Cricetulus griseus: one gene and its partners. The protein of the gene in region 3 interacts with the protein of the main gene of each other region in a pairwise test. Links are inferred from orthologs where the notes say so. Each region holds a gene or a part of one and is shown on either strand. Other genes may lie near its edges.

Evidence for each region. The genes of interacting proteins can lie anywhere in the genome.
Region 1: the proteins of Sipa1l2 (region 3) and Ap3m1 interact in binary tests that used the Homo sapiens proteins (3 or more experiments, as listed by UniProt). The two-hybrid records come from large-scale screens. The link is inferred for Cricetulus griseus from reciprocal best matches to the Homo sapiens genes SIPA1L2 and AP3M1.
Region 2: the proteins of Sipa1l2 (region 3) and Ddx6 interact in binary tests that used the Homo sapiens proteins (3 or more experiments, as listed by UniProt). The two-hybrid records come from large-scale screens. The link is inferred for Cricetulus griseus from reciprocal best matches to the Homo sapiens genes SIPA1L2 and DDX6.

The regions. Positions count from the first base shown.
Region 1 is NW_023276807.1:199,945,330-199,949,000, reverse strand, and holds part of Ap3m1 (AP-3 complex subunit mu-1), read right to left. Parts: intron 3,520-3,671; coding exon 3,434-3,519; intron 2,578-3,433; coding exon 2,444-2,577; intron 1,508-2,443; coding exon 1,300-1,507; intron 268-1,299; coding exon 123-267; intron 1-122. UniProt on the Homo sapiens protein: Part of the AP-3 complex, an adaptor-related complex which is not clathrin-associated. The complex is associated with the Golgi region as well as more peripheral structures.
Region 2 is NC_048597.1:156,312,142-156,315,812, reverse strand, and holds part of Ddx6 (probable ATP-dependent RNA helicase DDX6), read right to left. Parts: intron 3,595-3,671; coding exon 3,472-3,594; intron 2,058-3,471; coding exon 1,929-2,057; intron 735-1,928; coding exon 618-734; intron 1-617.
Region 3 is NC_048596.1:202,346,662-202,351,117, reverse strand, and holds the start of Sipa1l2 (signal-induced proliferation-associated 1-like protein 2), read left to right. Parts: upstream 1-1,630; 5' UTR 1,631-1,806; intron 1,807-1,910; exon of another isoform or gene 1,911-2,340; intron 2,341-4,456.

The sequences.
Region 1 (3,671 bases), on a different chromosome or scaffold from region 3:
CCTTGAGGTCAGCACCACAGCAGGCAAACTGGAGCAGCTGCTCTTTCAAGGGCAGAACTGTCAGAACTCTTCCAAACTCCTAATTCTAATTTCCTGTTGACACACAGCATACCTATCTTTACCTGAAATAGCAAGCTGCTGGATCTTGAACTGTATGTTGAGGCTTGGATTTTCTTCTGGCTTGGGTGCTCCTGACTGTAAATTTACCAGTCCTTTAAGACTTGGGAGCTTTTGTGGAGTAATTTTCCCCACATCCCATGCTAGTACCTTAAAAAGACAAGAGAAAAAAATCTGAACCATGTGTTACAGAGGTTAACAGACACTAGAAGCTCCTACATAAAATGAAGCAGTGTCTTGAAAAACAGAACAACCCTGGAATAGACAACCGATTTACATTACTATCATTAAACTTTCAGCTACAGACCCTTTGTTCCAGCGAAATCACCTGTGTGGAAACAGTAATAGATGAAAGTTTGGCTGTAGCTGGAGTGGAAGACAAGGATGTGGAACTCTCCTGCTTAGACTTACATGGTCTCTGGAAGGTTCTGGAATTCTTAAGATGTAGAAGTTCTTTATATGCGCACATGTATCTATGTGGGGTTGTGCACGAGAATACAGAGCCCATGGAGGCCAGAAGAGGGTGTTAGATCCCCTGCAGCTGAGGCTACAGGCAGTTCTGTGCCTCCAATATGGTTGTTGGGAATCATATTTGAGTGTTCTTAGCCACTGAGCCATCTCCCCAGCTCCAAGGTTGGAAGATCTTTTAATGTTCTATGTGTGGTGGCTCACACCTTTAATTTCAGCACTCAGGAGGCAGAGGCCTCTGTTGAGTTCCAGGCCAGCCTGGTCTACATATTGAATTCCAGGACAGCCAGGACTACCGTGAGAAACCCTGTCTCAAAAAACAAGATAAAACAAAAACAACAAAACCCAACCCCCCCCCCAAAAAAAAAAATGCTCTATGAAGTTAGTCAAAATTACACCTCAGGTAGGTGTGGTGATACATACTTTTAATTTAGAACTCGGAGGCAGGGGGTTCTGAGTGGGCTACACGGTAAGACCCCCCCCCAATCAAACAAAACATATCTCATTTATCAAGCACTCAATTATTCTGCACATTTGCTAACTAAGGAAGCAGAGCAGCTGAGAGAAAAATCATCTTTTATAGTCTCTGAAAACCCTTATAGAGGCATGTGTAAGTAATGCAAGGACACTTTTCCCAACTACTGTGTCCTCCACCCCCACCCACAAAAGAGATCACACAACACTGCTCACTCTTCATTGTTGAAGCGGCTGTACCTTGGTTACTGGATCAAATGTATAGCTGCCTTGTGTTGGTGTCAGGTTCATATTCAGTACAACTTTTGGCATGTGAACAGTCACTGTGATTCCTTCAATAGTTTTTCCCATATTCTGTTTAGGTCCAATTGTTATATCAAATCTGCCACAAGAGCTGTTTTCCTTAAAGCTGATACTGTGTTTCACATACACTGGTATTGCCACAAGACTACAAAAAGACACAGAGAGAAAGACACGAAAGTACATATGTACATAGTGAAAGGTATGGACAACTCCAGGTGTAGCATGTGCTCCATGCTGTCTGTAACTGTGCCACAGGGCCATATACCCTAGGAGATGCAGCCTCTGCACTGGGGTTGTTGAGGACAGCAGGGTGTTCTGTACCAATGTGCTAGGACAGTTTGGGTTGATAACAAACACATAAGCCAAAACAGAAATCTGGTTTAAATATAGTATAAACACTGGGGTAGAGGGCTATAGGAGGGAGGGAAAAGGAGAGGGAGGAAGGGAGGAGAGGCCCTTAAAAGAATTTGAAGTGCTAAGAAATAATTCTTGAAAAAAAGTTTCAGTTTGCTACCCAAATGCTTTCTGGTATTTAAAGGGACAAGTTAGTTACAGGTGACAATGTTAAACTGTTCAAGTTGAGTGTGGTTTTACTATCAATAATCCCAGCCCTCAGGAGGCTAAGGCAGGAGGATTCAGAGTTTGAGGCCAGTCTGGATTACAAATAAGGCTCTATCTTAAAAATAAGAACCACCTCCTACCCCTCAAACTCAATGTAGAGAACACTTGAAGCAGATATCTGAGGAAACATCTTAGGGCGTGGCTGTCTTGTCAGGTTAGAGAACACAGTAGGATTAAGGCACCAAGTGCATGGTTTGCACAGGTTATGCATATTTTAAAGGCTTGCTTTTAGGTACAGATTTTAACCTACTCTCCTCCATACTCCACTTTCAGGTTCAGAAACACTTGATTGTTTTAGGTACATATCACCAGTTCTCACTAGGTCTCCAGGTGAGCCATGGCTGAGTAAGCAAGCCAAGATGAACTCAAGAACTAAACTGTAAAAATGAAACAAGAGCAGGGGAGTTCTATTCAAATTGTTTGTCTGTGATGGCAAATTCTGGCTGGTGCATCAATTTACTTCTGTGAGCTGACACGGTATGATATGAGTCGGAAATTCCCATCTGGAGGAATAAATGACAAAACTCTTTCTGATTCCCAACGTTTGAACCGGATGCACGGGTGGAAGCTGACATCATCTAGAAGCCTTGGGTTCTGTCAGGAAAAGAAAAAGCCATATGCACAGTGTATAAGGAGTATGACAACAGTATTTACATATTATGATAAATTAATAGGCTCCCTAAGTCATAAAGGCAGTGTAAAAATTTATTAGGAACACATCAAAATAACCTTTTAGTTTCATGAACTTTTAAAGTTTGCAAACATTTTATATACATTACTTTACTTGAAGTTTATAAACTGTGGGGAGAAAAAACAAGCAGCATTATCTATATTCCATAGATGATGAAATCTGAGGTTGAAGAAAGTCAAGAGAAACTGGTAACAAAGACAGAACCAGAACACACTTCTCTTAGCTGTTTTTAGCAGTGTGTCATGCTGAATCTAAATGATGCAAAGCATCAATGTCTCTTTACACAAGCAGAGCAAATATCTGGTAAAAATGACAGTGGAGATACAAAAGCTAGACAGTGAATTCTGAGCCACTTATAGCACACTCGGTAAAGACTTCCCTTCCACTTTTCCATAAAGGCCATGTTCAGTGTGTCAGCTCCTCTCTGGAAAGCTGTGCTAGGAATATTTCTGAGATAGCCCTTTGTAACCTAATAAACAAACTCCAGGGCTGGGGAGATAGCTTAACATGTAGAGGTGCTTGCTGCCAAGCTTGAGGACCCGAGTTTGATCCCCAGGAACCACACGGTGGAAGGAGAGAATCAATTCCTGGATGTTGCCCTCTCATCTCCACACGTGTGCCCTGGTAAATACAAGCCAACTCAAACACACACACAAATAAAAAAATTTCAGATACAATCTTATGTTGGTAATTATCACATCATTTAGCACTTCAAATGTATTAGGCATGAAAGGGACTGTAGAACAGATCAAAACTTACCATGAAAGAGAGAGAGAGATCAGGCATTCCAGAGAGCTTAATGCAAGCATCAATGACCCCCTGAATTTCTGCAAACACTGTAGATCCTAGAGAAAGAAATAAAAAGTTGATAACCTTAATGGAATTTGGGTCTTCTCTAGAGCTCTCACTGTACCTGGAGTAATGAAAACATATCCTGGGTATCAAAATTACAAAGCTTTGAACCTCTCTAACAGGTTAGTTGGTGGAGTATCTATTA
Region 2 (3,671 bases), on a different chromosome or scaffold from region 3:
CATGCATGTCCTCTCTATAGCATCTAAGTGCTGGGATTTCAAGCATGGACAAGGAGATCTTTAAGCCTGGTGGTTTAAATGAAGGGGTGTTTGGCTACTAAAGAAAAGTTCAGCCAGGAAGCGGGGTGGGGGGGTGGGGGAAGGGTTGGGGTGGTAATTGGTTGCCCACACCTTAATCCTAGCACTTGGGAGGTAGAGACAGGTAGATCTCTGTGAGTTTGAGGCCAGCCCGGTCTATAGAGTTACTTCCAGGACAGCCAGAGCTGTAACACAGAGAAACCCTGTAAAGTTCAGTTGTTGGTTCTTTTCCTGGTACCAGGGATTGGAACTCAGGACCTTGCACTACTACTATACCCTAAGTCAAAAACAGTATTATTTGGGGCTAGAGAGATGGTTGACAGGTTAAGAGCACTGGCTGCTCTTCCAGAGGTCCTGAGTTCAATTCCCAGCACCCACATGGTGGCTCACAACCATCTAATAAATAAATCTTTAAAAAAAAATAACAGTATATTCTCATACATAGGCATTTACGGAATATTAAACAAGAAGAAAACAAAGTGTTTTTTTTTTTTTTTTTTTTTTTGTTAAATCTATGTAAGTTCTAGAGTTACACTCACCTGCCTCATTTTAGCATGGATATAGAAGCAAGAGTAACCCAGCTGAGAAATCTTCTTGGCCAGTAATTCAACTCTTTGAGAAGAGTTGCAGAAAATGATCGACTGGTTTATCTGAAGCTGAGCACAAAAGAAACATATGAGAAAGACAAAAACATTTGTTTTGCCAATATTGAAAATATTATTTAGCCAAAACTTTAAAAAGTCTAAAATTTAGAGTTTCCCAAGAAAGAGAGGAAGTTGTTAAAACAAAAACAAAAACAAAAACATAAAAAATGTAGCGAAGAGTTGCTGTTGAGAACTGGTTTTCTTGCGTAGAGTGTTTCATAAGGGCCACCTAACTGCTTGAGACAAAATGACAGAAGCAGTGTTCACAGAACTCATGCTCTCCAAAGCCACTGCTAACACACTGCTAACCAGCAAATAGGAACCAATGCTTTGGAGCTGGAGAGATGGCACAGCTTTTGCAGAGGACCCAAGTTTAGTTCTCAGCACACACATTTTGGGTTCACAACTGCTTACAACTCTCTTTCAAGGGCTCTGAAACCCTTTTCTGGACTCTTCTAGCAGCTGCACTCATGTGTATATAACCCACACAGACTCATACATATACATAATTGAAATAAGTAAAACAAATAAATAAAAAGAACCATTGTTTCTAGGAAAAATACAAAGTTAGGCACTTGTGAACCTCTGGTCACATTTTGTAAATAGCATGCAGTTTAACGTGTTTTCATTTCTTTTAAGCATGTCTTACTAAATACATCTATAGTCTCAAACCAATTTAACCCACGACTGCAAAAAGCTTATCCAATCCATATTTTCCCTGCACAGTCTTCTTGTGCTTAAGATTAAGAGTACAGGACAGCATTTCAACAATGGTGTGGGGACCATTTTGGAATGAAATCACAAACAGCTCAACGACTGAAAAATTAATGCTTATATACAGCATGAGAGTTAAAAGAAGACATCAGATTGTCCTTTTCTTCGACCTCATCAGGGACCAAATTTTTTTTTCTTCCCCCATACTGCACATGTCTACAAAATGACCACAACACCTTCAGTACTGATTTGAGGTCACAAATGAACTTCAGCATCTCGGTGCATTCACAAAGATAGAATCTACATCACCAGGATGAACTGTAATTAAGGTAGTTACTTAATAATAAAAGAGCCCGTGTCAATCAGCTTCAACTTTAAACCAACCAAAGCTGTCTTTTATAAAACACTAAGACTTTTTTACAGCGAAGATAGAGGGAAATGCTGTAACTGTCCAGATTCCCTGGGACTCAGCAGGAAAAGCCCACTACTTACCCTGGAGAAAAGTGTGTTGAGGCAGTGTACTTTTTGGCGTTCCGTTACATATGCGTAGTACTGGGTCACTCCCTTCAGAGTTAGTTCCTCCATCAGGTTAATCTCATAGGGTTTTTGCAGATGGGAATTCTGGGGTGGGGAGAGGAGGGGAAAGGGAGTCTTAAGCCTGGGTTTCCTCTCCTAAATTGCAATGCATACATTTTCGCCTTTTTTTGGGTGTGTGTGTGTGCAGTACTGGGGAATTAAACCGAGGGCTTCAGGCATACTAAGCAAAGAGCTCTACCCCTGAACTCAATTTCTTTTCCCCAAGACTGGGTTTCTCTGTGTGGTCCTGTCCTAAAACTCACTCTGTAAACCAGGTTGGCCTGGAATGCAAGATTCTCTTGCCCTGCCTCCCAAGTACTGGGATTAAAGTCGTGACCACTGCCTGGTATCTGAATTCAATTTCTTGACCCAAATTTATCCCTTTTTTTGTCTCTTGCTCCAATGGATGCATCTCTTTTCAAAACAAGTATTCATAAAATAAATAACATAGAATGGTACACCTCAGATTCAAAATGTAACTATGTTAGAGATGGGCATGGCTATACATGCCTGTATCCTACCACTCCGAAGGCTGAGACAGGAAGATAACCAGAACGACACTGGTAGTTTCCAGGTCATGTTTTAGGTATAGGATAACACTGTAACTAATTACTAGCATCTATGGGATATGTCATCTTGCCACAAAGAGTTAAATAAATAAAATTACCTGCCACCCCATGCCCCCCCCACAGAGTCTCACAGCTGGGCCATGGTAATAAATGCCTTTAATCTCAGCACTCAGGAGGCAGAGGCAGGCAGATCTCTAAGTTCAAGGCCAGCCTGGTCTACAGAATGAGTTCTAGGACAGCCAAGGCTACACAGAGAAACCCTGTCTCGAAAAACCAAAAACAAGCAACATAAAAGAGAGAGAGAATATGTCTCATTATGGAGCACTGGATGGCTGGGAACTCATTATGGAAAAGAGGCTGGTTTTAAACTTATGGTTCAAAATATAAAATTTTAAAAATTTTATAAAATAATAATAAAAAAAGGACAAGCCAGATGTGATGGCACATACTTTTAATCCCAGCACTTTGGAGGGGGGAGTCAGGTCTGAGTTGTTGGAAGGTGGCCTATTGGCCAGGGCTACATAGTAAGACCCTGTCTCAAAAACAAAACAAACAGCCGGGCGTTGGTGGCACACGCCTTTAGTCCCAGCACTCGGGAGGCAGAGGCAGGTGGATCTCTGTGAGTTTGTGACCAGCCTGATCTTCAAGAGCTAGTTCTAGGACATCCTCCAAAGCCACAGAGAAACCCTGTCTGGGGGGGGGGACGGAACACAACAAAACAAAACAAAACCCAAATTATAATAAATCTATACACAAATCTTTACTGATCACATGAAAAGAAAATCCTGAAATAGCATAAAGCATATAATCTAAGAAGATGTAATTACATATAAAGGCATACACTCATAGGTACTATTATGACATTGACTCCAAGTAGGTTTAATACTTACCATAAACTTTTGTACACTAAGAGGGAAAGTAGCGGAATATAGTAAAATCTGCCTATTTTTAGGTAGTGTGAGAATAATATCCTCCATTATCTGCACAAAATCCTGTGACAACAACTTATCTGCCTGTAATACAAAGAAAAGGCACTTTTTAAAGAGTAAGACATTAAAAGTTTTGGTTAGCATATAAACAAAGGGCAAAC
Region 3 (4,456 bases):
TAGGCATCCCTGAGCACAGAAGAATCCCCAGGGTAATGAGGCCTTTGAAAGGCAGGGAGGGAGGCTTAGGGGAAAGTGAACCGGAGATGATGAACCTATGATAGCTCAAACTAGCTTGCTTTTACGTGCGTGTGTGAGTGATTGCTTGCATTCACCTATGTGTACTACATGAGTGCAATGCCCAGAGAGGCCAGAAGAGGGCTTCTGATCTTCCGGAATTGGAGTTAAAGATGTTTGAGAGTGGTCATTGGAAGCTGGGCACGGAAGCCATGTCCTCTGCAGCAACAGTGAATGCTCTTAATGGCCGAGGAATCTGGATCATACTGGCTTTTAGCCAAGCTCACCTGTATGCTTCAGGGTTGGTACTTTTCTTTGAAACTTCAGCGGCCTCCAAACCTTTGCTAAAAGAGGCATTTTATATTCTTTCTGTAAGATACCCTGAGTCCATGGCCATGCACTGCCCTTTTACCTCCTTACCAGAAACTCTGCCTTGAGTTTCTTCTGCACATGTCCGGAAAGTAACAGAAAAAGCTTCCCAGGAAGCACAGCAGCATAGGTCATTTATCAGGCCCCATGTTTGTTCAGTGCATACACAACCTTGTAAACGCTAAGTATGAGACAAACCTTGAGAAAGACCTCAAAACCTGGAGATCTCAGGAGTGTTGTGTCATATACAGGTCGCAGACATGTTTTGCCAGGCCAATTCCTATGCATTCCGCCTGAATTATAAAATGATATATAAAGGACTGGACATTGTGTACGCAGAGAAATACAACGTGGGTGGGGATCCACTTTGTTTAAATTTTACCAGGGTGTGTGTGTGTGTGCAGTCGGAAGCACTGCGACCGGGAAGGAGAGATAACATCGTAACATTACCTCTTCCAGGGAGAAGCTCAAAGTCCCAATCAACCCAGATCGAGACTCTGGTGACACAACGTGAAAGCCCGCTCGGCTCGGGAAATCCTGCCACCAGCACCTGTCTCATTAACGCCTCCTGGAGCCGGGACATCTCAGAATAGGGCCCAATACAGGTGTACTGTAGCCAGCAGCAGGTGAGGCTTCCTGGAGGACAGACAAGGCCTGAACACGGAGTGTAGACGTTCCGGGCAGGCGAGAGCCTACACGAGCATCACAGGTCCCCCAGACCGGCGCGGACTGCGCTTAGGACTTTTGCGTCAAGTGAATCCCCCGGGCTTCGCCGGGCTATGGCGACCCTCAGGAGGCCAGAAAGGTAAGAGCCTGCGAGGCTGAGAGTCCACACCCGGAGAGCACGGGTCGCTCCGAGGGCGCCCCGACTCGCGAGCGGTGGGAGGCCAGTTGCTCCTCGCCGCAGGCTGAAGCCTCGCGCTCCCAGCCACAGGCAACTCGCTCTCCCAGGACGCTCGCGCGCGCCCGACTGCAAGGGACGAGTCTGGCCAGGAGGCGCGCCAATGGGCGTGGGCGGAGAGCCCGAGGCGGGGCCTGTCCTGTTGGCCAATGGGCGTGGGCGGAGCTCTAGGGGCGGGGACTGTCCTGGTACTGGCCAATGAAAGGGGCTGCAGAGCTCGGGGTGGGGCCTGCCGGAGCACCGGCCAATAGGTGGGGACGGGGCGCGTGGGGCGGTGCCGGGGCGGGCGGCGGCGGGGAGCCGGCTGCAGACGGAGCCGGCGGCCGAGGACGCAGCGCGGCGCCTGGCGACAGCTCGAACCGCGGGCGCAGCGGCCGCGCGGGGAGCGCGCCCATGGGTAGCGCCGGACGGTGGCGGGCGGCGAGGCCCCGGCTTCTGCGCGCCGGCCTTAGAGGGGCCCAGAGGACTGCCGCTCCGAGGTGCGTGTCGGGGGGTGCGGGGTGCGTCCGCTGGTGCGGGTCGTGGGGACCGGACCTGCCCGGCTGTGTCCAACTTGCGGGCCGCTCCCCCGGGGCTCCCGCTCCTTTGTACGCGCGGGCTTGCGTCTTCGCGGGTGAAGACCGCGGTCGGGGAGCTACCCGGCAGCGCCGGCACATTCATTTCAGCCTGGCCGCAGAACCCAGAGAATCAATTTCGGCTCATCCTCCCGAGAGCGAGAGCCGAGAACAACTTGGCGTCACCCCTCAGGGAGACGTTTGTCGTCATTAACCGGCTCCGGGTATCTTAATTCAGCCGGCCAACGCCAGCACCGGCGAACCGACAGCAAGTGCGTCTTCACGAATTGGGGCTCGGCGGTACCTGATTTTGGTCAAAACAGGTCTTAGGCGCTTTGGATTCTGCTTAGAGTTGACTTGGTCTGGACAAGGATGGCTTTAAGAAAGAAGAATAAACAGCGAGAGAAAAAAGCAAAGCGGAAAAACACCCCCAAACCCAAGTCATTCACAGAAAACCGGGTATCTTGGTTATTCTCATTGGTTTTCCCAGTAACTTCAAAATAGTCCCAGAAATGTTCCTTTTGTCTGCGGTTTCACTTCTAAACTTTAACACTAGATGGCTTTCTTATGACAGGCATTTAGTCCACTGGCTGCTTGAGTTTCCTGCGTCTGCAGTCTAGGCTGGGATTTATTTATTTATTTAACGTCTTACAAATTGAAATGAAAGGGAAGAAAGTATCCCAAACTGCTGCTTTGTTTGAAATATACTGTTCCCCTTAAGGCTTAAGCCAGTTATTTTTGCAAATACGGAAAAGTGGGCTTTGATGTATACCACCTAAAAGGTGAATATGAGCAAGCTGCTCCTCAGCTGCGCTCTGCATCGTGTTTTGACTTATTTGGAGAATGGAGAGTCCTAGGGGTGGGTTTGATGATTACACTTTCGTAGATTTCTACGTGTGCTGTTTTCACTGCCCGGGTTTAGTTTGGAGGCTTCGGGAACAGGCAGAGATGGGGTCTGTGGTGGAAAGAGCAGTCTGTCTTGAGTTTGGGGCTCATGCAGGGCTGTTCGTGCCTGAGGGTTGACCAGCAGCCTTTGAGGAAGATCTGTAGTCCAGTGCGTCTGCCTGAGTCATACTGAGGATTGTGTCAGGGACCTCTGCATTTCCTTCTCCCCTGATGAGGTCTGCTGCTGCTTTTCTGACTGAGCACAGCTCTTTAATGACTAGTACAATTGCCTCTAGTTAACTGGTCCAGCAGATTTTTACATTCTGGGTTAAGTGCTTTTATTTTTTTGGAATTAAACCTAGAGGCTTGGGTGTGCTAGAGAAGCACTCTACCACTGAGCTGCATTCCCCGTCCCACTTATTATTATCTTAAAATAGTCATCTATTTATTGTTATTATTTTAGAAGAGTCTACCTAGGCTGACCTCACATGGTAGCTCAAACAGGCTTTGAATTTGTGGTCCTCCTGCCTCATGAGTGACTTAAATGACAGGTGTGCCCTGCCACGCCCCACTTCTTGTTCAGTACTTTTACTCTACAAGCAACATGACCGCTAGCCCCAAGTCTTGCCCAGATAGGCAGGCTTATTAGCCGAAGAAATTTGAGTTTGGCTTTATAGTTGTCATTTCTTGTGTGTCTTGCTTGGCTTAAAATATGACATGTTAAATTTGTATGTTCTAAATTAGAATGTATTCTTAAATAGCAGAAGGGGGGGATCCCCGACTGAGTAGACATCTGGGAAGTGGGGAACATAATGAAACAGGAACGGCTTTCCTCACTACCCACGTGCTACCTAGAGATGGGGTGAGGTGAACTTGCATAAGAAGCTCTGTAGACATTTGCTCCAGAGGATGAAGAGAGCAACACTGGATCCAGTTAGGGTATGGGGGTGGAGCTTCCGCTTGGGAGTGCAGGCCTGGGAATTGCACTGTCTGGCTCGAGTGTATATTTTTCAGAACATGATTTTGATATTGTAAAATGCTACGCTTCTGTAAAGAGCTTTTTTTTTTCCTCTGTAACTTTTAGCCTTATGAGTAGGATTATCATCTTGGTCAAAGCTATGGAATATACATTTGGAAGGGTCATCTACTCCCCTACCCACTACCCCACCACTGGTATGATTTTGGAAGGGAATCTTCTTCACCTGAGACAAGGTCAATTAGACACTTGAACTCTATTTCTGGAACTGAGGAATTGTTAGTACAAATGACAGTTATCTGGTAATTGAAACTGGTTTGAAAATGCTGTGTATGGGCCTAGCCTGCCTCGGAATTGTGCTTCCGTTGGCATGGATCTGCCCCTTACCCCTTGTCCCAGCAGTAGTTGTTAAACCCAGCTTTGGGAAGCTTTGAATTGTCTCTTTGAACTTCTGATCTCTGTGTGGTAGTTTCAGATTACAAGTCTTTACAAAGGCACAATGAATTTTAAGAAAACTTGGATTATGCTTGTTAACTTGAATGAAATATGAAGTCAAACCCTAAAGAATACACAAGAACCATGGTCTAGATTTTCTTCTTGTACCTATGTAGGCTTTCTTTTTTGGTTGAGTAGGAGGAAGGGTGGGACCCTTGAGGGCTGTTCTTTGTAGTTCCCTAGGAGAGTTTGGATAAAGTAGAGCACAATTCCTTTTGA